Alligator mississippiensis: one gene and its partners. The protein of the gene in region 1 purifies or fractionates together with the protein of each later gene. This does not show direct contact. Links are inferred from orthologs where the notes say so. Each region holds a gene or a part of one and is shown on either strand. Other genes may lie near its edges. The genes, in order: MPHOSPH10, IMP3 and IMP4.

Region 1 (7,253 bases):
GCCTGGCAGGTCGCCTTTTGCCCACCCACCCGTGTTATACCGTTGTTCAAAATAAACACAGTCATTATCAACAGGACAGTTACAAAATACTCAAATATACATACTCAGAAATGTCTTCTTCAATCTCATCTTCCTCATTCTGATCATCACCATCATGATGAGCTGGATTGTCATTGTCATCATCATCATCATCACCACCACCAGAATCAAAGAAATCTTTATATTTCAGGTCTCTAGAACTTTTAACTGGCTGGGAAAACGGTAAAATAAGAGATTACCTGGTGATAGTGACAGAGATCTAACTGAATCTTTTATTCTATGAGAGCAGTGTTATTAAAAACTGCAATGGTAATTCAATTCATTTCACTACTGTTTGGCTACTAGGCTAGATCATGGCTTGAATGGTGTCAGGTCTACATATTTATCACACAAATTTTATTTTTGCTTGCTTTAACCGCACAGAAGGAGAAGAGCCATAGATGTTGACATTAATTTGTTCTTCTATAATGGGAGAATACATAGCTCTCAGATGCCTAAGTCTATCACTTTTAGAAGTGCCTCAATTAGCTTTCTTTCATGACAAGCACATTGAAAAAACAGAACAGCTATAAACATTACTGTAAAAAGCATGAATGTTATTTTCCAAGTTAATACTCTGCAGATTAAATCACAGCATTATGAAACCATGACCCTCTCCCATCACACCCCATTCCTTGGAGATCATGACCCCTTTCCTTCCCCCCTCAAATCTCTAATCATACAGAACCCCGTTGACTTCAATAAGATGCTGCAGAGGCATGAAGATCCTCCTAAACCTACTAGAATTCTCACTTCTGGGTAGGGACTTGTGTGTTCACACACACTCAAAGCAAAAAATATTCATACTCCACAGGGGATCATTGTCATGTGGCTAAGTTTGGCTAAATTTCTGGTTTCAGTCCACCAGTTTGTGATTTAAACACAGCATCTCTTTTGGAGAAGTATCTGATCTTTAAAGATTTCAAGTAATGGAGAAAACAGCATATTCTTTGTTATTCTAATTCCTGTTGTTAATTACACTTACTGCCATTTCAACATCCTTAAGGCAGCTGAAGATCATTTTAGGTATTTAATCATGACAAAAGCATGTCTTTAATAACTATGGAATAAGTTTTAATTCAAGAGTTATTTTTATTTAACCAGCTTATTGCCTAGTAGCTTTCAATACCTTTACCTTGACTTTATCTTTTCCCAATTCCTCTTCATCCTCTTCCTCCGAATGAATATCTTCAAAATAATTAATCTCATCATCATCCTCTTCCATCTCCCGCCTTTCTGTCTTCTCTAAATCATCCAAAAAGGCTTCCATCTCACACAGCTTGAAAAATTTATCATCCACTATGGACTTTTCCCCTGTTTTTTTCGAAGTAGTCATCTTTGATTTTTTCGTTTCTTCCTCCAGCTCATCAATATCAAAATCAATATCTGAATCCTCATCACTGTATTGCTGCCTCTTCAATGTTCTGGATTTAGTTTGCTTTTCTGTATCCTCGCTTTCATCTTCTGCATCATCTGAGATCTGGTCTGCTTCCATACTGTCTTCTGGTTCCATTTCCTTCTCACTACTCGTCTCTGCATCCGAACCATCTTCTTCTTGGACTGGGATAAGGCAAAGATCTTTGTCTTTAACATTTCTAGCAACCTCGTTTTTGAAATAGTCCAGAACTGCATCATTCTGGAGCTCAAGCTGCTGCCAGATCTGTTCTTCATCAAAGCTCTCGATCACCAGTTCTTTTAAGGGACTCCCATGGATTGCATCTGCCCCTAGCACTTTATGCAAATCGTAAAGAGTCTTTGTTAATGACCTGAAGTCTGCAGCCAACCCGTCCTGCACACTGAGGGGAAAAAAGCACATTCAAAACTTGAAGAAAAGCCATGAACTTTAAACTTTGAAGTAGTGCTACATGAAAAAAAACATAACAACTATAAGACTGTCTTTTAAACACGCTCAGTTGCCACAACTGGACCAGTGATCAGGGCTTGTAGCCAGAAGTGATCTTTTATTAGACTAACAAAATTTTTGCAAATAATTTGGTCCGCGGGTCCAGGCACCTCCTGGCGCTGCGGGCTGCTCCACGGTCGAACTGGATGGAGCTCACCGCTTGCTGTGACCCTGGACGTGGGGGGGAGCGGGCCGTCCCCTCCCTGGCACTGCTTCGTCTCCTCTGCTTTCCCCAAGAGGAGGCCAGATGAGGCGCAACAAAGTCAAAACCGGGGAGTAGTGAAGAAAACCCATCTTCCCTTTCTTTCTTGGAAGAATTTTTTTTTTGCAAAAATCTAGTTGGTCTAATAAAAGAAGTCACCTCTGTCCACGAGCCCCGATTGCTTTTTCCTCTGGACCAAATACAGCTACAACCTGGATGCGTGACAAATGCCCCGGTACAACCCAAAAGCTTGCCGGGCCTTCCCTGCCCTCCGTGTCAGCAATTCCCCCGCCGGCTCGGGCCCAGGGGCGCCCGGGTTCGCTACTACCGGCTCTGACTCCGCTGCAGCCCGTCTGGCCTCCTCGCGGTGAAAGCAGAGGAAACGAAGCGGCGCCGGGACGGAGCAGCCCCCGCCGCCCTCCCGCTCCTCAGCAAGGGCCGAGGTCTGTCCGGGAGGCTCCTGGACCCGCCGGCCAGGCCCCGCGGAGAAGAAGCGCGGCTGGTGTCCCCGCAACCCCCCCTCCCCGCGGGGCTTTCCCTCGGGAGCGCGGGGCGAGCGGCACCGGCCGGGCAGGGCCGCAGGCAGCACGAGGGCCCAGCCCCCGCACGGGGCTCTCCCGGGCCGGGCCGGGCCGGGCCGGCTCGGCTGTCCTGCCCGCCCCAGCGAGCCGTACCTGAGGAAGCGCTCCGGCTGGGCCGCCGCTCCGCCCAGCACCTGCAAGCAGGCCTGCAACCGTCCGCGCCCCGCCGCCATGGCCCGGCCCGGCTCCAGTCGCCCCCCACGCGGCGGAACCTGGAGTAGTCACCGCCAAGAGGCTCCGGCCGGACGCGTGGGCGCCAACAGCGGGTTCCGCCCCGCCCAGGGGCCCTGCCCGGCGGGCGGGGCGAGCACGGCGCACGCGCCCCAGGCCCCGCGGGGGACCCGTGTGGAGACCGCGTCCGTGTGACGCGCCCCGCCCGCCCCGGGACCCCCGTGGCCATCCCAGCGGAGGGCAGTCCCGAGGGGCTCCTGCGTGAGGTGGGCCCAGGCCGGCAGAACTCCCCAGCAGAGAGAAGGGGATGGGGTATGACAGAGGCCTGTAAAATAATGGGGTCTGGAGTAGCCAGGGCTGACCTGCCGGCAGCCTCTGGGCACTAGAGCTGGGCGCAGACGTGCATTCCTAGGGAGCAGATTGAAAACACGCAGGGGCAGGATTTTTCTGGGTGCACAGTTCACTTGGGAGACTTGTTGCCACAGGACGTTGCAGAGGCTGGTTGCTTTGGCAGGTTCCAAAGACATGGCTTCTCGTGCAGCGGGGGTCCAGTGCCCACCACAGCAGGGCTGCGGCTTTCATATTCCTATTTCCGAGGTCTCAAAATGTTGGAAGTTGCAAGGGAAGAGGCAGGGGGTAGGTCAGTCTGGATAAGCCCTTCATAAAGACTCTTTATGCCCTATGCCCTTTGCAGCTAGCTACTCAGTGCCACTGTGAGATAACCTGGGTGAGACAAACCTGTGATCTGACCTAGTATGGCATCTCTTAAGGTCTTACATGTCTGGACAGCTTGCATCCTCTCTCTTCCTATGCAGCACCACTATACTATGTATGTTACCTACTCTCACATACAGACACATGCTGTAAAACTATACTCCCTAATCTCTAAAGCCCAGATATGCTTAATGAAGCATCTCCTGAACCTCTTACCTCCTCGTGTTCTTAGCCTCTTACGTACCCTTGGTCTTCTCAGAACAACGAGGATTAATGTTATACCTCCAATTACTTCACAAATTCTCCTGTTTCCCTCCCAGTTTCCAAACTCTCCTACACAGGTACCCCAACCCACCACCTTTCACATACATATGTACATCTGGTATGACATCTCTGGAACTCTCAGCCTAAATCACACACCCCTTTTGCCTCAAATTTTCTCCTTTCCACATTCCTCCCCAAGTTTCTCTCACTGTTAACCAGGTCTATCTTATCCTGGGTGGCTCTTTAGGCTAGCATAGGTGCAGGAAGCCAGTAGCTAGTGACACACAGACTAATGTAACTAGCATCCTATCCAGCCACATCCCACTTTCCAGCCTGAATCTACCCACTTGCAGCTGTGTTGGCCCAGGAACAACAGCAGGGCTTGTATTTGTGCCTCTGGATCCATTGTGAGAGACCTTTTCCACACTGGCACAACAACCTTCACGCTCACCGTGCAGCCTCCGGAATATTTTTGTTCTATCTAAGGGTAGCAAAGAATTGTTTTCCTTCAAACTACACAATGCTTATTTTCCCACCTAATAAAACAACAATGGCAGGATAAACTCTAACTAAACTATAGATGCCTCCAAATCATAAATCCTGTAATTCTCAGTATATAAGGATTCTAGTTATGCATACTTTTGCAAGAGGGGCATTTTAAGTTGCTTGTAATCTAGAAAAATGCATTTATATTCAGCTGTTTTGAAAAGTTGTATTCCGTTTAGGCAGAGTTTAATTTTGTTACTGTTAGCATTATTTAATAAGCTGAGTGTGGGTGGTAAGAAACATGAATCAGAGAGTGGATTTTACAGTAATCTTAATGCAATGTAACATTATAGTTATAAGAGTAAATAAAGTAAGGAATATTATTGTTACTATTATGAATATTTTAATCCCAGACCTTGTTTTCTCCCTTTATTCCCATGCCAGTTCCTTCTACTAAAGTAAAAAATTCCCTCCTCTCTGACCTTTTCTACAGATTCACTATTTGTGCACAAATTTTTTGCTCTGCAGATCTACTGTCTAGAACAGGAACATGCAAAATACAACCTGCAGGCTGGATCTAGCCTGCCAACTGATTGGATCCAGCCCACACCCACCAATTGATTGGAACTGGCCCATGGCTTCCCCCGCGGCACTCTTCAAAGGGCTGAGTCCTGCTCACTCCTGCCCAGGGCAGCCTGCACCATGCTCCTGCCCATGCTTGCCCATAGCCCCAGTCCAGACTGCAGCCAGTGTGCACAGCTTAACAGTGGGGCTGCTCCCAGGGCTGCTGCAACCACCTAGGGGCTGCTCAGGTCCCCCCACCCCCATCAGCAGCTCCTTTTTCTCTGGCCCCTGCTGCACCACTCAGGGTGGGAGCAGGGAGTTGCAGCTGAGCAGCTCCTGCCCCAGCATGCAGGGCTCCAGATCCAACTCCCACCCAGTGCAATGAGCAAGCCACCTGCAAGTGGCCAAGTGGGTGGAAGGTGGCCTGGAGCTGGTGCCCCACACACTGGAGAAGGAGCTGCTTAGCTGCAATGCCCCACCCTCACCTGGAGCAGCATAGCAGGAGGAAGAGGAGGAGCTGCTGGAGGCAGTGGGAGCGAAGCAGGACCTGGGCAGCTACAGCAGCAGGAGCAACCCCACCAGGAAGTTATGCACACAGGCTGGGGCCAGGCTGGTGTGGGTGGGAACAGGCAGAGCTCAGCCCAATTCAGAATGCTGTGGGGGCAGCTGTGGACCAGCAGGAGGGGACACAGACCATGCTAGCACCTTCGCTGCCCTGGCAAGCTCTGTTGCATGCCCCGCCCCCCCAGTTCCTGGGACTTGGCACGCAGGCAGCCACCCCCTACATGCATGCACACCCCTCCACTCACCTCCAATGCCTCCTCCCCTCACAATATACAAGAGTAAGACTTTATTTTGAGCTATTATGCAATCATCTCTATATACACTATTTAAAAAACCCCCACAAATCAGGACAGCAATTATTTTTTTAAATAAAATGTTATACTAAAAATCAAACATCTACTGTATGTATCATCTATAAATTTATTAAAATTATATATTCTGAAAGATTTTAAGTGAGGGGTCCTTGACAGCTCATCAAAACTGATTAAGTGGTCTGCCAGTTGAAATAATTGCCCACACCGTTCTAGAAGGACACTCCAATATATGCAGAAAGACAATAACATGCACCTGTGACAAGATAGTGCCCAAGGGCAGCTATATTACCTCCTTGTGGCCCCCTCTGTCTTTTTTGGTCCCACTCAGATCTCCCTGGATGACAGCCCATTCACTTGTCTACCATACCTTGTTGGTAGAGAAAATTAATGGGGGAGGCTGCCCACCTGAGATTGGCAAGTCCTCTGGGGCTCTCCCTCTCTCCTATTTGTTTTTGGTACTTGTTTCCTCAGGTCTTCCTTCCTCCCCTACCACCACACCAATATCTCACAGATGACACAAGTTATCATTTGAGTGTGCATCTCATCCCTTTACACAGCTTGGCCCTCTGGCCACAAAAGTTTTGTTGGGGCTTTAGCCCCCTTCCTCTAGCTCAGTGGTTCTCAACCTTTTTTGTACTAGGACCCATTTGTAAACATCAGTGGCCAGTCCTGACCTAGTGGCCCTGACTCCCAACCCATTGCTCCCCATGCCTGGGCTCCAGTCCCAGTCAGCCCCTCACAGGCTAGAGCTCTGCCAGCCTGAAAGGGAAAAGTCAGTTTCCCAAGTTTTTCTCCTTTAAAGGAGAATCCATTTTTAAAGTTTGTTTGCAACCCTTTTGATATATTCTTGCGACCCACAGGTTGAAAAACACTGTTCCTGACCCCGGCATCTGGGCCCCAGCCCTGGTCTCACCCTTCCAGGCTCTGGCTAGCCTGCTCATGTTCAGGCCTCAGCCACTCCCCTTCTCTGTCTTTTCTGGTTTGGGTTACTGGCCCTCTGTCTCATACTCCCACCCTGGCAGGGCTGCTACCATGCCTTCCTGCCATCCTATGGCCTCCTCCTCACAGCCACACCTCATCCATTAGTATAGACTGGAACATAAAAGGAAGAAGCTACAGCTTTAACAAAAGCCCACCCTGCTCAGAACAAATAAATATAAAAGAAAAAAATGCCTTCCCATCACTTTAACAAAACCCTCTCATTCTCAGGGTAAAATAAACACACACCCTTTCAACCCTTATCTCCTGGGGCTCTCTCCCTGCTCTGTTTCAGGTGTTCAATGCTGATTGGAGTCTGCCAAGTACCTCCTGGAATACTAGCTCCCTTTTATGTCTCTCTGACCCTCAGAGAGCTGAGGTTTTTAAACACCTGGGAGAGGCTTCTTCTAATCAGCTGACCCTCCCTGGTTGGC
Region 2 (7,047 bases), on another chromosome or scaffold:
AGGATAACGGGGTTGGGCTCTTCAGCTGTATTCAGAGGTGGGCCTAAGCGACAACGTTCATGTTTAGATCTAGATCCAGTTCTGCACTCCCCCGAAGTTTGGGAGGCTGGAGGAAGGTACTTATCTGCCTGTCAGTTTCATATAACATTTTGATCCTAGCATCCACCATATCAGCTCATTAACAGCAATTCTTGGACCAGAGGTGTTACCTGTCTGCCCTACACTAACCACCCAGTGTGAATTCTGCCACTGCTTAAGTCATTAAAAAAAATACTGTTTGCTTAAGCAGGCTTGGTTCTAGTTCTGAGCAGCAGCGATTTTCTTCCTACCTGAATAAGCAGACCTTTCCATGTAGTCAGTATCTAACACTAGTGCTGGGCTAGTGATTTAAGTGGGGAGGGACAGGACAGATATAGGTGTCCTACCTGAACGGTGTCATCAGTCATCAGGTCTGTGCAGCCAACAGAATAAGGCCCCTTCCCTTCAGGGATCCTGTAAAACTTGGCAGTGCCTTTGGTTCCCATTTCTTCAGCGCTTTAACAGCCAAACCTAAAAAACCACAACAGACCTTGGGAGATTCTTTTCTTCTTTTCAGACCAGCAAACTGATGCAATGGAAAAAAGAACAGGAGAACAAAGATTCAGGATGTTAAGGTTTGGGACCAAGCTACCAATTGGGGTCCAAAGAACCATGCATGAGAATCACAGATGTAAAGCCAGAAGGGACCATACTGTGTGTCATCGAGTAAGACTTCCTCTACAACACAGATCATAGAATTTCAGCAGTGCAGGGTATTGACTGAAGTGCTGAGGACTGGGGGAGATAGCTGCTTTGTACATGTGCTGAGGGGGAGGATGTGAGCTCTGATTTCCTTGGAAAATTCAACCTCCTTTGATAATTACAGTCTGCCCACTTCAATCAACTCCCTGTAGTTTTATCCGGATTCTTCACTTCCTGTCCCACGGGGCTGCATAGCACTTGTACGCAGCGTCAGATTGGTAGTTTTAAGATGTCTGTACATTAGAGGGTAAAATGCTTTATACAGAACTAAAGGGCCAGATTCAGACAGAGGTTATATTCGCAAAAGAGTATAAGCTATAGCAGCAGGACCCAGTGGTAGGGCACTGGGGAGGTGAGTGGTTAAGATGGTGGAAAACAGCTAGAGTCTCTCTCTCTTTTGGGAGCAAGCAGGGGTTCATGCAAGACAAAAAGCAGATGGTTCTGGACAGAGCTACAGAGGTTTAGGGTTCAACCATAAATTAAAGCTGCTTTTTGCACTGATGTGGCCTCCCCTGATTATGAGCTGACATATGAGTCTCACAAGGAGCAGGAGGTTGCCTTTGGATGTAGGAGTTCCATCTTTGTTCAAAGCCTGAGAGGAGCATTTTGGAGGGCTCCCCTTCTGGCAGCACAACACCATCCCCTCACACAGCTGTCACGTTTAGTGCAGCTCTTTGTGTCACACAGCTGGGGAGACATGTCACTTTAATCCCATGTACATACATGTGCATGCACACACGTACAATTTATGATTCTATGAAACTGGGGACTCTATTAGCCTCCCCTGCACAGCCCCATCCCAGCTTAGCCCCCATCTCCTTCTGCCTGTCTTTCAGCCGATGCCTCATTCTGATCCCTTTGCTGCCCCACCTTTCAGCTCCTGATATATTCTCTCCACAGCTTCCACCTCTAGATGATCTCTGAATCCCTTCCTTCTGCTCCCCAACCTCCCTTGCTAGTTGCACTGAGATCCCATTGAAGAACTATCCTATTTTCTTTCCACCTTTGCTTTGACATGGAGTAACGTTTTTTATAGCTATCTAGATATATCTATATCTATCTATATATTAGACATATATATGTATGTATGTATACACACATATACATACAGTATATGAAGTATTAAAAGATGAATTGCTTTATTTTAATTCAGAAGCAGAGTATGTATCATAAACCCCTAATAAATATGTAACCTGTGGTCAGTAGCTATGTCACAAACCTCAGCACTTCAACTGCTTAAAAACAGTCTCAAGTTAGTGTTAGGACATGAAGCACTTTCCCTGTTGGATGTATGCAACTGGATGGAGGAAAAGACATAACAAAATTGGCCTGTTTTTTTAAGCTCTGGAGTATTTACAACTTCCTCAACACTGCAGATAAGGCCAAGTGCTCACACGTACCTGTGACCACATACAAACCGCAAGCTTGCTAGTGGCTTGCCTAATGTAGGCTAGAACTTTATCAGCATTTCAGATCACGTTTTGAGTGACCAGGAGGTATATAGAATCTATGTGTCTGCGTGTGACACACATCTCCATAGTTATTTTAAGGGTGGGCCAAGTCAAGCACGCCGTGCTGTCATGACTTGCATTCTAGATCTCAAAATGCTTTCCAGACTCTGATAAACTGAATGTCAGGCTACCACTCTGACAAATCCTTCTTGTTGGATTCTTTATGGTTCTGGTCCCAGTCTAATCATTTCTTCCTCCACAGAAGGAAGTGAAGTAGGTATAAAATACTAACTTCCACTTCTCCTAGCTGTCAGTGATGACACAAGTAACCACACAGGAGACTCATCTCTGTTTTGCTTGTGGGGAAGGCAAGGCACAGGAGTGATCTGTCTGAAGCTCCACAGACTCTGGCAGGGATGGGAATGCAGATCAGCATTCCTGACCTCTGCTCCTGTGCTTGAGTCCAGCCGGCATCATCCCCAGAACAGTGTCACACTCTGTGCTGAAGAGAACCCAGGCATGTGAGGCCTGGCCCTGCAGCTGCTCTTAGGCAGGCATTTGCAGGGATGAGGAGGTCCCGTAAAGGCAGAGCTGGGACATAGAAATGGCATAAAATCCTACTTCTTTTGTTTTACTTCCTGCAGATGAAATATAGCTGAGCCCACTGAAGAATGAAAATGAAATAGCTGAGCACACTGAAACCCATTCTTACCTACTAATTTTGTTTCTCCAGATCTCCTTCTGTCAGTCCAGAATGCAAAAGTAAAGGAAAATTTGAAGGGTTCTTCTATTAATGTTCCTCTTGCTTTCCCAATGTCATGACCTTTGTTAAAGAAAATAACACAAAAGCATGTGAGTAGCTAGTATCCAGGTCTGCTTATTCGTGTTGCCTTTTCAAGGGTGGGGTCAAAATTAGGAGATGACTTGAAAGTATAGTTCAGTTCCCTAAGTCCTTCAGAGCTTGCTTTCTGCAGTCTGTCCCAAGTCAGTCAATTATACTGGCTGGCTCCTGGCGACAGGAATTCCTGATTGCCCAGGAGCCGACCTGAAAACACGTTTTTCACACAGGCGTAATGCCTTTCGGACCGGCCATTACAGTCCTGAGAACTAGATTCTGTCTCCTGTGAGGCACAAACCACTGAGATCAGGCAACTTAATGCTGCTTTGGGATAACCTAGGATAACAAGTCAGGCTTCTGCATACTATTTTGCCTATAGTTTCCCAAGTCTGTCCATAGGTTGTGGCACAGACTTAATTAACTGCAGCCCAGAGCACCAAGTACACTGACTTGTAGGTGACTGCCAGCAATCTGTAGCACAAGAAGGGGACAGTCGTTACACTGGACTGGCCCACACTACACTGGGAATCCCTGCGCGCTGCGGGAAGCTGGGTGCTTTCTAGACACCGTGTGCACCAGCAGTAGCATAACGCAGGATGCTGCTGCTACCCGGGGCACTGGTCCGAGCTTGACATGACTTACTGCCTAGTTCGCTTGCAGCCCCAGCCAAGAAAACGATGATGGCAAAATGAGAGAGAGAGGAAATACACTTTGGTCTTAGCCTAAAAAAAAAGCCCACAAAACCAAGCACCCCAGCCTGCAGCAGGGCAGCCGCGGCAGCGTGCAATGTCAGCCCAGGGTCGAGACACCCTGCCCCAGAAGCCCTCCGCCATCCGAGCAGGGGGAAGCCCCGAGCACATCTCGCGCAGGTTGCAGAGAACCTGCGGGGGAGGCGCCTGCAAGGGGCGGAGAGCGAACCCTACGTCACAGAACGGGGCCGAACAATGCGGAACGGAACGCTCGACCGCACAGTGACGTCACAAAGGGGAGCGGCCAATGAGAACGCAGCCCCGCACCCGGAACTGGAAGCGCTGGGCACAGCCACGTGGCTGGCAGCGGCGGCGGGAGCACTCGGACTCGGACTCGGACGTAGAGCAGCAGCAGCAGCAGGATGGTCCGCAAGCTCAAGTTCCACGAGCAGAAGCTGCTGAAGCGGCTGGACCTGGTGAGCTGGGAGGCGGCGGGCGGCGGCACGGCGGAGCTGCGCGTGCTGCGGCGCTACCGGCTCCCGCGCCGCGAGGACTACACGCGCTACAACCAGCTGAGCCGCGCCGTGCGCACCCTGGCGCGCCGCCTCCGCGACCTGGGCTCCGCGCCGGCCCACGCCGCCTTCCGCGCGCGCTGCACCGCGGCGCTGCTGGGCAAGCTGCAGGCGCTGGGGCTGGTGAGCTCGGCGCGCTCGCTGGAGCAGTGCGACCGGGTCACGGCCTCGTCCTTCTGCCGCCGCCGCCTGCCCTGCGTGCTGCTCCGCCTGCGCATGGCGCCCAACCTGCGCGCCGCCGTCGCCTTCGTGGAGCAGGGCCACGTGCGCGTGGGGCCCGAAGCCGTCACCGACCCCGCCTTCCTCGTGCCCCGCGCGCTCGAGGACTTCATCACCTGGGCGCCCGGCTCCCGCCTGCGCCGCCACCTGCTCGACTACAACCAGGAGCGCGACGACTTCGACGTGCCCGCCTAGGGCCGGATGCGCCGCCAGGACGGGACCCCAGGCTCCGGGGGCAGCGGCTTAGAAACGCCCTCCTCCAGCGACGCCCTGCGTCCTGGCCAGCTGGCAAGGACTGGTGTCTGCGCCCTCCCCAGTCAGGCTGCACCTGCCGATACAGCCTGCAGCTGCTGCCAGGGCAGGGCGTCCCCTTCTGCTGTCATCAGCCTTCACGGACGGGCCTGTTCTCAGAAATCCTTGGACCCGGTTGCATTAACTGTCATCCTCAGCAGTACCCAGACCCCCTCCCTCCGCCCTTTCTCCTATTTAATAAAAAGAAACAAATTGCGTTTCAGGGAAAAGCCTTTTGGTTTCTTTAAAGGCGCAGTCGCACCTGCCTTCTCCAGCCCTGCTGCTGTTTTCCAGCTGAAGGAACTGAGTGGGGCGGCTTGCTGCCCTCGCCTACATCGGGCATCCCCCAGCTCCCCAGAGCGCATCGTGGGGCCCCTGTCTCAGCAGGCCCCATGGCACTCCCCACCGCACCGTGTCAGCAAGCTGGGGGATACCCAGCAGGTCTGCTTCCAGGCTGCGTGTCGCCACCAGCTCTGCATGTTTATGGTCTACTCTCTACCACCCCATCCCTGGGTCCCGTCCAGACACTGAGTAGCGGGACGTGTTCAGTGAGGACAAAGGTCCCTTGCGGACAGACGTTTTGCTGTGTTCCTGTGAGCCTCAGCTGGCGGCTCCTCCACTGAGCTGTCGCCACAGGTGTATGTATACCTGGCATGTGTCACAGATGTCCCGAACATCTGCCTCTTCTGCAACCAGAGGGAGACCCTGACCTATGTCTGCGTGGGATGTGCCCAGCTGCAGCCCCTTTACCGCCTCCTTCAGAGCCTCCTACTACAGTTCTGGCCACGCTGCTCCCTGCACCTTTTTATTTGCACGCTTCCCATCTGCGGCCCCACCAAGTCCTGGGACCTCCTGATCAACCTCCTCCTGGTCCTGGCTAAGCTCACAATTTATCTGACCACGAAGGAGGCTCTAGTGGGGAGGACCCGTGGGGGCTGGGGAGCTGCTTTCTTGTCCCTTGTCTGATCACATCTCCAAGCAGTTGCACTGGGCAGTGGGAGACTTGTAGGTTTTTTTTGGTGGACATTGGCTCATGATCCCTTAAAGTAGCAAATTGCCCTGTGTGGCTGGAGCAGTTTTGTTTTTTTTAGATGAATCCTGTTTGTGCAGTGTTAGTCGGAATGTATCTGTTAGTGTTAGGCGCGGTGTTTCCTGTTACTCTCCTGGGAGGATGGGGACTGTTTACAGTAGTGCAGGCGGTTTTCTGAGCACTCTGTGTCTGTGGGACCGGTGTCTGCAGAGTTGGACGGTAACTTTTCCTGTGTGAGGTTTGAGGATGAATGCTGTGCGCTCTTGGGAAGCTTTGCCCTAAGGCGCTTACATGACCACTGGCAACACCCAGGGCTTGGGAATGACCCAGTTTCCAGAGGGGTAACTGATACTTCAAAGCACTAAGGCCCAGATCCTGCCTAAATGCCAGTGGGGATCCAGCCCTTCAACTGCTATGCCCAAGGTCACAGAAGAAACATCCTTAACTGCCACTGTCTCCTGCCTTCCTTGTGTGCATTACAACATGCAACATGTTTCACACGCACACACGTTGCAGGTCTACAGAGAGCTGGCACCCCTGCGGTGGAACTGGAACTCCAGCTCCTTAATTCAGGGTTGACTGGCAGCGGCGAACATACCAACAGCTAAGGACCGTGGAGGACAAATCCTTTTCAGTCCTCTGCCCGTCTTTAAAACTTGCTTTCTTTTTTTAGCTGGACTCAAAGATGAAAAATAGGGGGACTCTCAAGGAGTTAAAGCTGTTTTTAACTACTTTGCTCCCTCTGATACTGTTTGTGACTAACATCTTCAGACTTTCTGGAAAAGGCTGTTGGAATCTCATGCAGGAGGAAACACATGCTGTGAGGCAAAGTTGTTTATAGCATTACATTCCTGACACAAAACTGAGCGGAAATACTCTCTCTGATCCTTCAGTGAGCAAAAAGGGAGGGTATTGCAAGCTCTTGAAGTTGGCAACCCTTACAAAGAAGTTTTGTAAAATTTTCAGCAGCCTGGAGATAGCTTGATCTTTGTTCAAACCAGAAGAGGAATGCAAGTCATAATCCTGAGAGAATAAGAACTTCACACTTAACTACGTGGGTTAATATTGTTCATTCCTAAAGGCAATAGAAATATTAACAGAAAGCAAAGCTATTCTAGCTAGGCCAGTGAAGTGCGACATTTATTTTTTAATGCAATAACTTAAATCTGCCTTTGAA
Region 3 (7,865 bases), on another chromosome or scaffold:
TTATATTTCGGTTCCACTCCAGAGCTAGCCACATCGTCACATTATACTCAGCCAATCCCAGCTACCCCACCCTAAAACTGGCTCCACCTCAGGCTTCCTCATGGGGCATCATAGTCAACCATTCCCCAACTGTTCCCCACAAGAGCTTGCTGCATCTCAGCTTCTTTCTGTGGTGTTATACTTGGCTGTTTGACATCCCAGACCTGGCTGCATCTCAGCCCTCACTGTGTGATGTTATACTTGGCTGTTCCCTAGTCGTTTCACTCCACAGCTGGCTGCAGCTCGGCCTCTCTCTAGTATTATGCTCAGCTGTTTTCCAGGCACCCCAGCCCAGATCTGGCCATATCTCAGTCTTCCCCGTACAGCATTATACTCAGCCATTCCTACAGGCTGCACCCTGGAGCTAGCCACATCCCAGCTCCCTTTCCCCATTACACTTGGCCGTTCCCAGCTGCCCCCCACAGCTGGACCCACCGGAAGGAGATGTAGTCATCCTGGTTGGCAAAGGTGACCACGCGCTTGCTGTCCTCTTTGGGCACTGGGAACAGGTACTTGAGGATGCTCGTCACCTGGGGAGGGGAGGGGAGGGACAGAGTGGGGGAATAATTTAGATATGGCAGCCCCCACAGGTGCATCCCACCATAAATCCCACCCCAAACCCAAGCTCTGCCCTTTCAGCTCAAGCCCCTTCCCTTCCCTTCGGCCACACCTGTTCCTCAGAGGCCCCACCCAAACTCACACGCTGGCCCAGGCGAGAGGTGAGGCCATGGAAGATGAGATGAGGGGCAGCTTGGGGCGCAGGGCCGATCCCAGGTACGTCATGGCGCATCACCACGTTGGCCAGTGTAAAGTAGGCTGTAGGGCCCAGTGGCAGGTGTGACACAATCAGCCCATCTGGGGAAAAAGCCAGGGGTTGGGGGTGGTGTCAGCAAGGAGGGAGGAGCGGGATCTTGCCAGCAGGCCGTATGCCCCCAGCATGCACTGCTTCCCACCCACAGCCCCCTCCCAACAGGCACTGCTCTGCATTAGCCCTGGCTATATCCTTGGCTCCACCCCTTCCTAGCCTGCCCTACTAGGCTCTGCCCACCACCCCTTCCCAGCATGCACTACACTGTGTCACCCCTTGCCAGATCAGTCTATCTGGGGATGGAGCCAGGGGAGATCAGAGGGGCCTTGCCAGCAAGCCCAATCCCTTCCAACAGGCACTGCCCTCCTCTTATCACCCCCTCAGCTCTGGAGGAGCGCCCACACACACACTCTGGTGTGCTCTGTGCCACACCTTGCAATCCTTGGCTCCACCCCATTCTCAGCATGCACCACTAGGCTCTATCCACCAGCCCTTCCCAACATGCATGTGAGAGAAGCATCTCCCAGCATCCCCTAGGGCAGGAGGCGGTCCAGGAGGATGGGGCTTGGCCAAGAGGGGCATGGTAAGGGACAGAAGAGGTGTAGCCAAGACAGTATGGCCAGAGCCAGGGGGGCCGGAGCATGGCCAGCAGGCAGAGGGGGTGTGGCCAAGCCACTGGCTAAGAGGGCAGGGCCAGGGAGCAGAAGGAGCAGAGCCAGGACAATGGGTGGGGCCAGAAGGGGCATGACCAAGCCAATGTCCAGGGAAGCAGGATATAGCTAAGAGAGCAGGGACATGGTGGGGGCAGAAGGGGTAAGGCCTCACCAGGGACACCACGATGCTCATGAAGCAGCAGCAGGTCAGTGAGGCCATTGGCGCGGCAGGCGTGGAGCAGTGTCCCCAGCTCTGCCCGGCCCCGGTTCATCCGCTGTGCTCCCGGGAACACCAGCTTCAGCTCCTGCGGAGGGGGAGGGATTATCCTTAAACCCCACCCCGTACTGCCCAAGCCTCGCCCCTCCCAGCTCCCAGGACCACCATGGCTACAGCTCTGCCCTGTCCCACTAGAGGGGCCTCCTGAAGCCCAGTCTCCAAAGCAGAAGCCCCGATTAGCCCAGCCAGCTCCATGCCCTTATATAGGTCGGGTCCCTGTAACCTTTGACAAGCTACAAACCCTGCTCCTTCTGCCCGTCCCCAGAAACACCCCGCCCCACCCCACCCGGCCGGGAGTATATACCCCACCCCCTCCATTTACAAACCATGCAGCCACTTGAAGCCCCATTCCCCTCCCTGGGATAGGCCCCTCTAAACCGCACCCCCTCCCCAGCACTCGCCCCTCGCACCTTCACAAACATTTTGAGGCGCGCGCTGGGGTCTCGCGAGGTTGTCACCATGACGCGGGGGTCTTCGGCCCCTGCCCAGCGGTACTCGTCATCCTCAGCCACCTGCAGGCCTGGACGGCAAGCACGGGTTAGCCTCGCCCCTAGCCACACCCCCTCCCGTATTCCGCCCCTACTGCCTGTCTGGTCCCGCCCCGCCCCTACCCTACCCCCTCTTAAGTCTAGGCCCGCTTAACCCCGCCCACACACACACACACGGGTTCGAGTCCTAGGGGGACAAGGACCCCACCCCACTCCACTCACCGTCAGCACCAGGCCCGTCAAACTCGAGGGCGCGCTGCAGGGTCAGGGCCTCGCGGCGGAGCTCGGTGGGCAGGAGCCGGTTTTCTGCGGGGGGAGACAGGACGTCACGGGGGGCGGGGGACGCAGGTCGGAAGGGAGAGGTACCACGGGCCAAGTGGGGTGCACTCCGAGCAGGGGGAAGGGGCATCAATTTGGCGGGAGTGAGGGGTAGTGTGGGGCCGTGGGGGTGGTACCGTCCAGCGCCGCCCGCAGCTGCTCCTTGCGCTCGCTGCTGGCCCGAACCCGCTCCTCCTGTGCTCGGCGCTGTAGGTATTCGCGGCGCTGTCGGGCCTCGCGACGCAGCTGGGGAAGCAAAGAACCAGGCGGGTGTCACCCGTGGACTGGGGGAGACAGATCATCCCCTGGCCCTGGCCCCCACCCTCAGGTGTGACCCTACAATAACCAACAGACCCTTACCATGGTGCTGGCTTTGCCTCTCCGGCTCTTTTCCTCCACGTGGGAGCCCAACACCGCTGCCTCCGATTGATCGAGCTCTTGGGACCAATCAGAGAGCAGAAGGCTACCTAGCGGCGCCAACAGCCAAGCAGGGCCATGGTGTGCCCTGAACAAAGATGGCGGATAGGAAATGTGAATGATGGAGAGGATTCAGGGCAGTGTGCCCTAAACAAAGATGGCAGAAAGGGAACAGACTGACGAACCCCTCACAAGAATGGTGGCCTTTGCCCTCGGCTAAGATGGTCGCCAACGGGGACCCAATTGGGCTCGTTTCGCTCCTCCTGGCCCGCCCCACCCCCAAGAAGGAGGCAGTGGATTCGAACCCGCCAAGAGCAACTGGCCAATGAGAGCTGGCAGTGCTACTCGCTATGCGCCTTGATTGGTGGGGCCCCGCTACAGCTGGTTTCTGGCTGGCTACAGCTGGGGAACCCCCAGTCCGACCTGAAGCCGTGCCGGGATGGATTTCCGGGATTCAGTCCGGGTGCGGGGACGATGTCGGAGGCGGCGGTGGAGGAGGGGCGATGCTCGGCGGGGCTGAGGCCTGGGCCTGGGCCGGGGCCTGGGCCTGGGCCTATCCTGGGTCTGCGGTGGGAGCTGGATGCGCTCGTGCTGGAGCTTCTGGACACTCTGGAGGCGCTTCGGGAGCGGCGGGAGGCGCTGAGCGGCCGCGTGGAGCAGGTAGGACCGAGACCACCCCTCCCCCCCCTTTCCGGTGCCTCTCACTCTCGACCTGCCCTTCCTCTAACCCCTATCTGTCCCCGTCAGGGCTGGTTCTCGCTGTCCAAGGCGCGGTTCTCCATGGGCTGCAAGTCGGTGTCGGCCCTGCAGTACGGAGCCCAGATGGAGCCGCACGTTCGCGTGTGTGTCAGGTGGGTCGGGAGCGAGGGGCACTGATGCCCGGGTTTTCTGCCAGGGTGCTGCTCCCTATCTCCCTCAACGCCCCCTCCCTCCCCAGCGAGGGGCCAGATGGGCACCTCAACTTCCAGATCGTTCGTGATGATTTGGGTGCCCCCAAAGTGGCTGCGGAGCCACGGCATGTGGAGGAGATTGGACCCCAGGATCAGGAGGAGGTGACAGGTAACGGGGGGGAGGGTTGTGGGTCAGGGGTGAGGAGCACCACGAGAGGATGGGGGGGTGCTGTGAGTTGGGAGTGAGGGGCACCATGATCCTGTCATATCCTTCCCCAGGGCTGCGGCACCGAGGGAGGCGACCAGCGGGGGAGGCTGAGGTCCTCCAAAGGCCGGGGCCAGTGAAGGGGCCTGGAGGCCGTGACCCCCTCACCTGGTTCGGGATCCTGGTGCCTCAGAGCTTGCGGCAGGCACAGCGCAGCTTCCAGGAGGGTGAGTGACCACCCCCAGCAGCATTCAGCCTCTCTTAGGACAGGATTAAGCCCCTCTTTCCCTCTGTGGGGTCAGGGTGCCCCCCCTGGCTTTAGCCTTCTGACTCCTGACATTTGCCTTGAGGACAGGATCAGGTGCCCTGGCAGAATCGGGGCTCCCTGGTCTCTGTACCACCTAGGGCAGGATTTGTCACCACTCAGAGTGGGTTCAGGACCCTCTCACACCTCTAGTGCAGGAAATTTTCCCCTGATCTTTACCCCAAGGGCCTTCTCTTTCCTCCCCCACCCCCAAGGGGCATGGCTGACCCCTCATCTTTGCCACCCCAACCTTTGGTCGGTCACCCTTGCCCCCGATCTCTACTACTGAAGACGGGTTTGGGACCCCTGCCTCCATCCCCACCCCCCCCGAATACCACCACTGACCCCTGACCTTAGCCTTCTAGTATTTGACTTATGCTCCTGAAGACAAGATGGAAACTGTACCCCGCCTCATGCACACCCACATGCTCACGCGCACACACGATTAGCCCAAATCCATGATCTTTCACCCTTTGACTTTTTCGCTCAATCCCCAGGGCTGGCACTAGCAGGGGAGGTAGCAGCGCTACAGAACCGGGTGAAGGCAATACGGACTCAGTATTGTGCCCTGCTGAACCAGGCCCATGTGGGCTGAGCCCTGCTTTCCCCTCTGTATTGCTGGGACAACGGCCCCTGGGGACAATAAATTAGGAGCTCTGCACAGCCAGTGTCCCAGATACCTGGGTTCCTTTGTGTGTGTGTTTTGAGGGGACCCAGATGCCTGCCTTCTCTGTATGTGTTGCCCGGGAGGCTCAGAAGCCGTGTGTGTGTGTGTGCGTGTGTGTGTGTGTGTGTGTGTGTGAGAGAGAGAGAGAGAGAGAGATCCTGAACACCTGGGTCATGTTGTTGGTGGGGGGGAGTCTTGGATGCCTCGGCTTCTTGTATGTTTGTATAGAAAGGATCCTGGGTGCCGGGTGTGTGTAGAGGGGGGGTCCCAGATGCCTAGTTCTCTGTATGGGGAGCGGCACGGAGCAGAGAGGCCTGGGTGCATGTGTTCTCTGTGCATGGGGGTCCAAGATACCTGGGTTCCCTGTGTGTGTTGGGGGAGGGGGGTAAGGCCTGGGTGCCTGGTCAATCTCATGTGGGGCACCCTGTAAATGTACTTATCTGGCAGGGGAGACACCATGATCACCCAGGTAGTTTTTCTACTGCCTGGGGAAAACCACAAATGTGGCAGGGGGCAATACCCTGACTGAGGTAATGCATAGTTAGCCTCTCACTTTCATGTCAAGTGGGAAGATCTCGGCTATTCGCCGACTTTATAGAAATGGGAGATTCCTCCCTAGCTTGCTCCTGCAACCATACCGCTGAGGGCAGGCAAAACTCAAGGGTATCCGAACCCCAGGTCTCTGGGCTTGGGCCTGCACGTAGGATGCCTGCCAAAGGATTTGGAAGTACCTGAAGCCCCAGCTGGCTGGGGTGGGATGCTTGACAGTAGCAGGGCCACATATGGTTCTTGAATGACACACGGATTTGGATTTGATTTGCCTGATTTGACTTGGGACATGGAAATTTTCCTTAAAAAAGTCTGTTGGAGGGGGAAGCCCGGCACCTAGGTGATTCTCTGTATGTACAGGGGATCCTCGTGGGACCATAAAAGCTACCTGTGCCTGCTCCCGCAAGGTGTTACATATGGGGTGTTACACAGCCCTCGACCTGGCCAGAAAACCACTTGTTTGTTAAAGCCAAGCAAAGCAGGTGCAGGTTTTGTCCCAGGAAAAAAAAACCTTGTCCCAGACAGTGAGAAGATGATGCTAGAAAGAGAGACAAAGTGATGAAAAAGATCTGCCAGGCTGGGGGTGCTTATCAATTATGCAAATAACCTCTAAATGGCCAGTAGCCATAGTGATAGTCATGGAGGGGGTGGAGAAATAACTATACGAGTCACAAAAGGCATAGAAAAAGTTGGAACTAAGGGATTGTTGGATGGCTAGACTATACCCCAGAGGCTCCTGACACGCATTACATTTACGCACTTGACCAGTGAATGGTGTGAGATAAGTAGATTGGCCACACAAGCAAAGGAATTATCATGCCATTCACTAGTCAATCACCCAATGCATTTAGGGAAGCCATAAATGAAAATAAATTGTCACACACTGAACTATTCAGTAACGCAATAACTAGATGGGCCAAACATGCAAAGAAGTTCTTGCAATCAACTGGTCAAGCATGCAATAAATGGAGACTGGCCACAAGCACAAAGTAATTACCACGTTATAAAAATCACCGTCCAGCTATGAAGAGAGCCAAGCAGGTACAAAGTTAGTGCTTGAAAATACGTCACAACTTTATGACTAGTTTCTAGCCAGCTTTCATTTGAATGTGTAGCAGGGCCCTGAATGTCTGAGTGAGACCCTGACCTGTCTGATCCACAAGATAGGGAGCAAGACTCACTTGCAAGGTAGCTAGTGCAGTTCTAGGTAGGGGAGTGTGCACTGTCTGCTGAATAAACTCATATGAGTAGAGGGGGAACTCCTGTCTCTCTAGCATCCTGTCTCTCAACAACCCGCTGGTACCCCAAACCCTTGGACTGAGGTAATAGAAGGTTTTGAAGGTTTTTGGGGGCACCATGGTGACCTGCACAACCACATAGCTGTGAATAACTGTGTGTTTTTGATTGTGTGTGTGTGTACACACAAAATTAATTAAATGTGTGTGTGTGTGTGTGTGTATATAAAATAGATGTATGTGTAGTGTGTGTCTGCATGGATATGTGCGCACATGCATATGTATAATATGTATATATAAAATGAGTGTGTATGTGTGTAAAGTGCATGTGCACATGTTGAGACATAAAATGAATATATGTGCATGTGTGCATACACAACATTAGTGTGTGTGTCTATCAGATGGATAGATAGATGCATAGATAGATATCCAAAGCCACAGTACTATAGTTAGCTTACGTAACTCCTCTGGTGATCAGAGACTGTAGTCCAACCTGGCCCCTAAGGCAGGATTAGCCCTACCCAAACCATCCCAGACAAAGCCATTGTCTGAGCTCTTTGTAAAACAACTGTCAGTCATGACACAACACCGGACTTCGCACCCAAACCTGCCATGGGAAAAGCCAGACCACCACAGGAGTCAACATCCTGCTGATGTTAAAGATGGTTAATAAATGCTTCAGACATTTCAGGCAGAGGCCATGCCCATGCTAGGAAGGCAGGAAAACCTACCTGGTCTGTATTAATCTGACCTTGGGGGCGGGGGGGAAGGGATTCCTTCCTTGCCCCAAATATGGCATCAGTCTGATCCTGACCAGAGGAGCAAGACCCTGCAGCCAGGCCCTTCCAGGGCTGAATCCCAGCAGAAGCATTGTTACAGCCCAGTCACATTCCCAGCTTGGGCTGCAGCCAACTCCCAATGTCTCTGAGAGGGGCTTAAAAACACCCTGACATGTAGCAGAAGGGGGCAGGGGCAACCAGTAAATCCCAGAAGCCTGGGAAATCCCCATAGCACA

What was found.
Region 2: the proteins of MPHOSPH10 (region 1) and IMP3 purify together in Homo sapiens (affinity purification with mass spectrometry; 4 studies listed by BioGRID and IntAct, with this or other methods). This does not show direct contact. The link is inferred for Alligator mississippiensis from reciprocal best matches to the Homo sapiens genes MPHOSPH10 and IMP3.
Region 3: the proteins of MPHOSPH10 (region 1) and IMP4 purify together in Homo sapiens (affinity purification with mass spectrometry; 3 studies listed by BioGRID and IntAct, with this or other methods). This does not show direct contact. The link is inferred for Alligator mississippiensis from reciprocal best matches to the Homo sapiens genes MPHOSPH10 and IMP4.

What each region holds. Positions count from the first base shown.
Region 1 is NC_081834.1:35,431,000-35,438,252, forward strand, and holds the start of MPHOSPH10 (U3 small nucleolar ribonucleoprotein protein MPP10), read right to left. Parts: upstream 3,033-7,253; 5' UTR 2,938-3,032; coding exon 2,858-2,937; intron 1,875-2,857; coding exon 1,214-1,874; intron 251-1,213; coding exon 105-250; intron 1-104. UniProt on the Homo sapiens protein: Component of the 60-80S U3 small nucleolar ribonucleoprotein (U3 snoRNP). Required for the early cleavages during pre-18S ribosomal RNA processing. Part of the small subunit (SSU) processome, first precursor of the small eukaryotic ribosomal subunit.
Region 2 is NC_081824.1:13,427,613-13,434,659, forward strand, and holds the start of IMP3 (U3 small nucleolar ribonucleoprotein protein IMP3), read left to right. Parts: upstream 1-4,021; 5' UTR 4,022-4,180; coding exon 4,181-4,744; 3' UTR 4,745-7,047. Other genes in the region: PLA2G7 (platelet-activating factor acetylhydrolase), read right to left, coding at 426-524. UniProt on the Homo sapiens protein: Component of the 60-80S U3 small nucleolar ribonucleoprotein (U3 snoRNP). Required for the early cleavages during pre-18S ribosomal RNA processing. Part of the small subunit (SSU) processome, first precursor of the small eukaryotic ribosomal subunit.
Region 3 is NC_081831.1:27,572,841-27,580,705, forward strand, and holds the start of IMP4 (U3 small nucleolar ribonucleoprotein protein IMP4), read right to left. Parts: upstream 3,019-7,865; 5' UTR 2,947-3,018; coding exon 2,944-2,946; intron 2,830-2,943; coding exon 2,721-2,829; intron 2,572-2,720; coding exon 2,488-2,571; intron 2,298-2,487; coding exon 2,188-2,297; intron 1,806-2,187; coding exon 1,673-1,805; intron 895-1,672; coding exon 710-894; intron 570-709; coding exon 475-569; intron 1-474. Other genes in the region: uncharacterized protein LOC102559449, read left to right, coding at 3,475-3,660, 3,748-3,851, 3,938-4,059, 4,170-4,322. UniProt on the Homo sapiens protein: Component of the 60-80S U3 small nucleolar ribonucleoprotein (U3 snoRNP). Required for the early cleavages during pre-18S ribosomal RNA processing. Part of the small subunit (SSU) processome, first precursor of the small eukaryotic ribosomal subunit.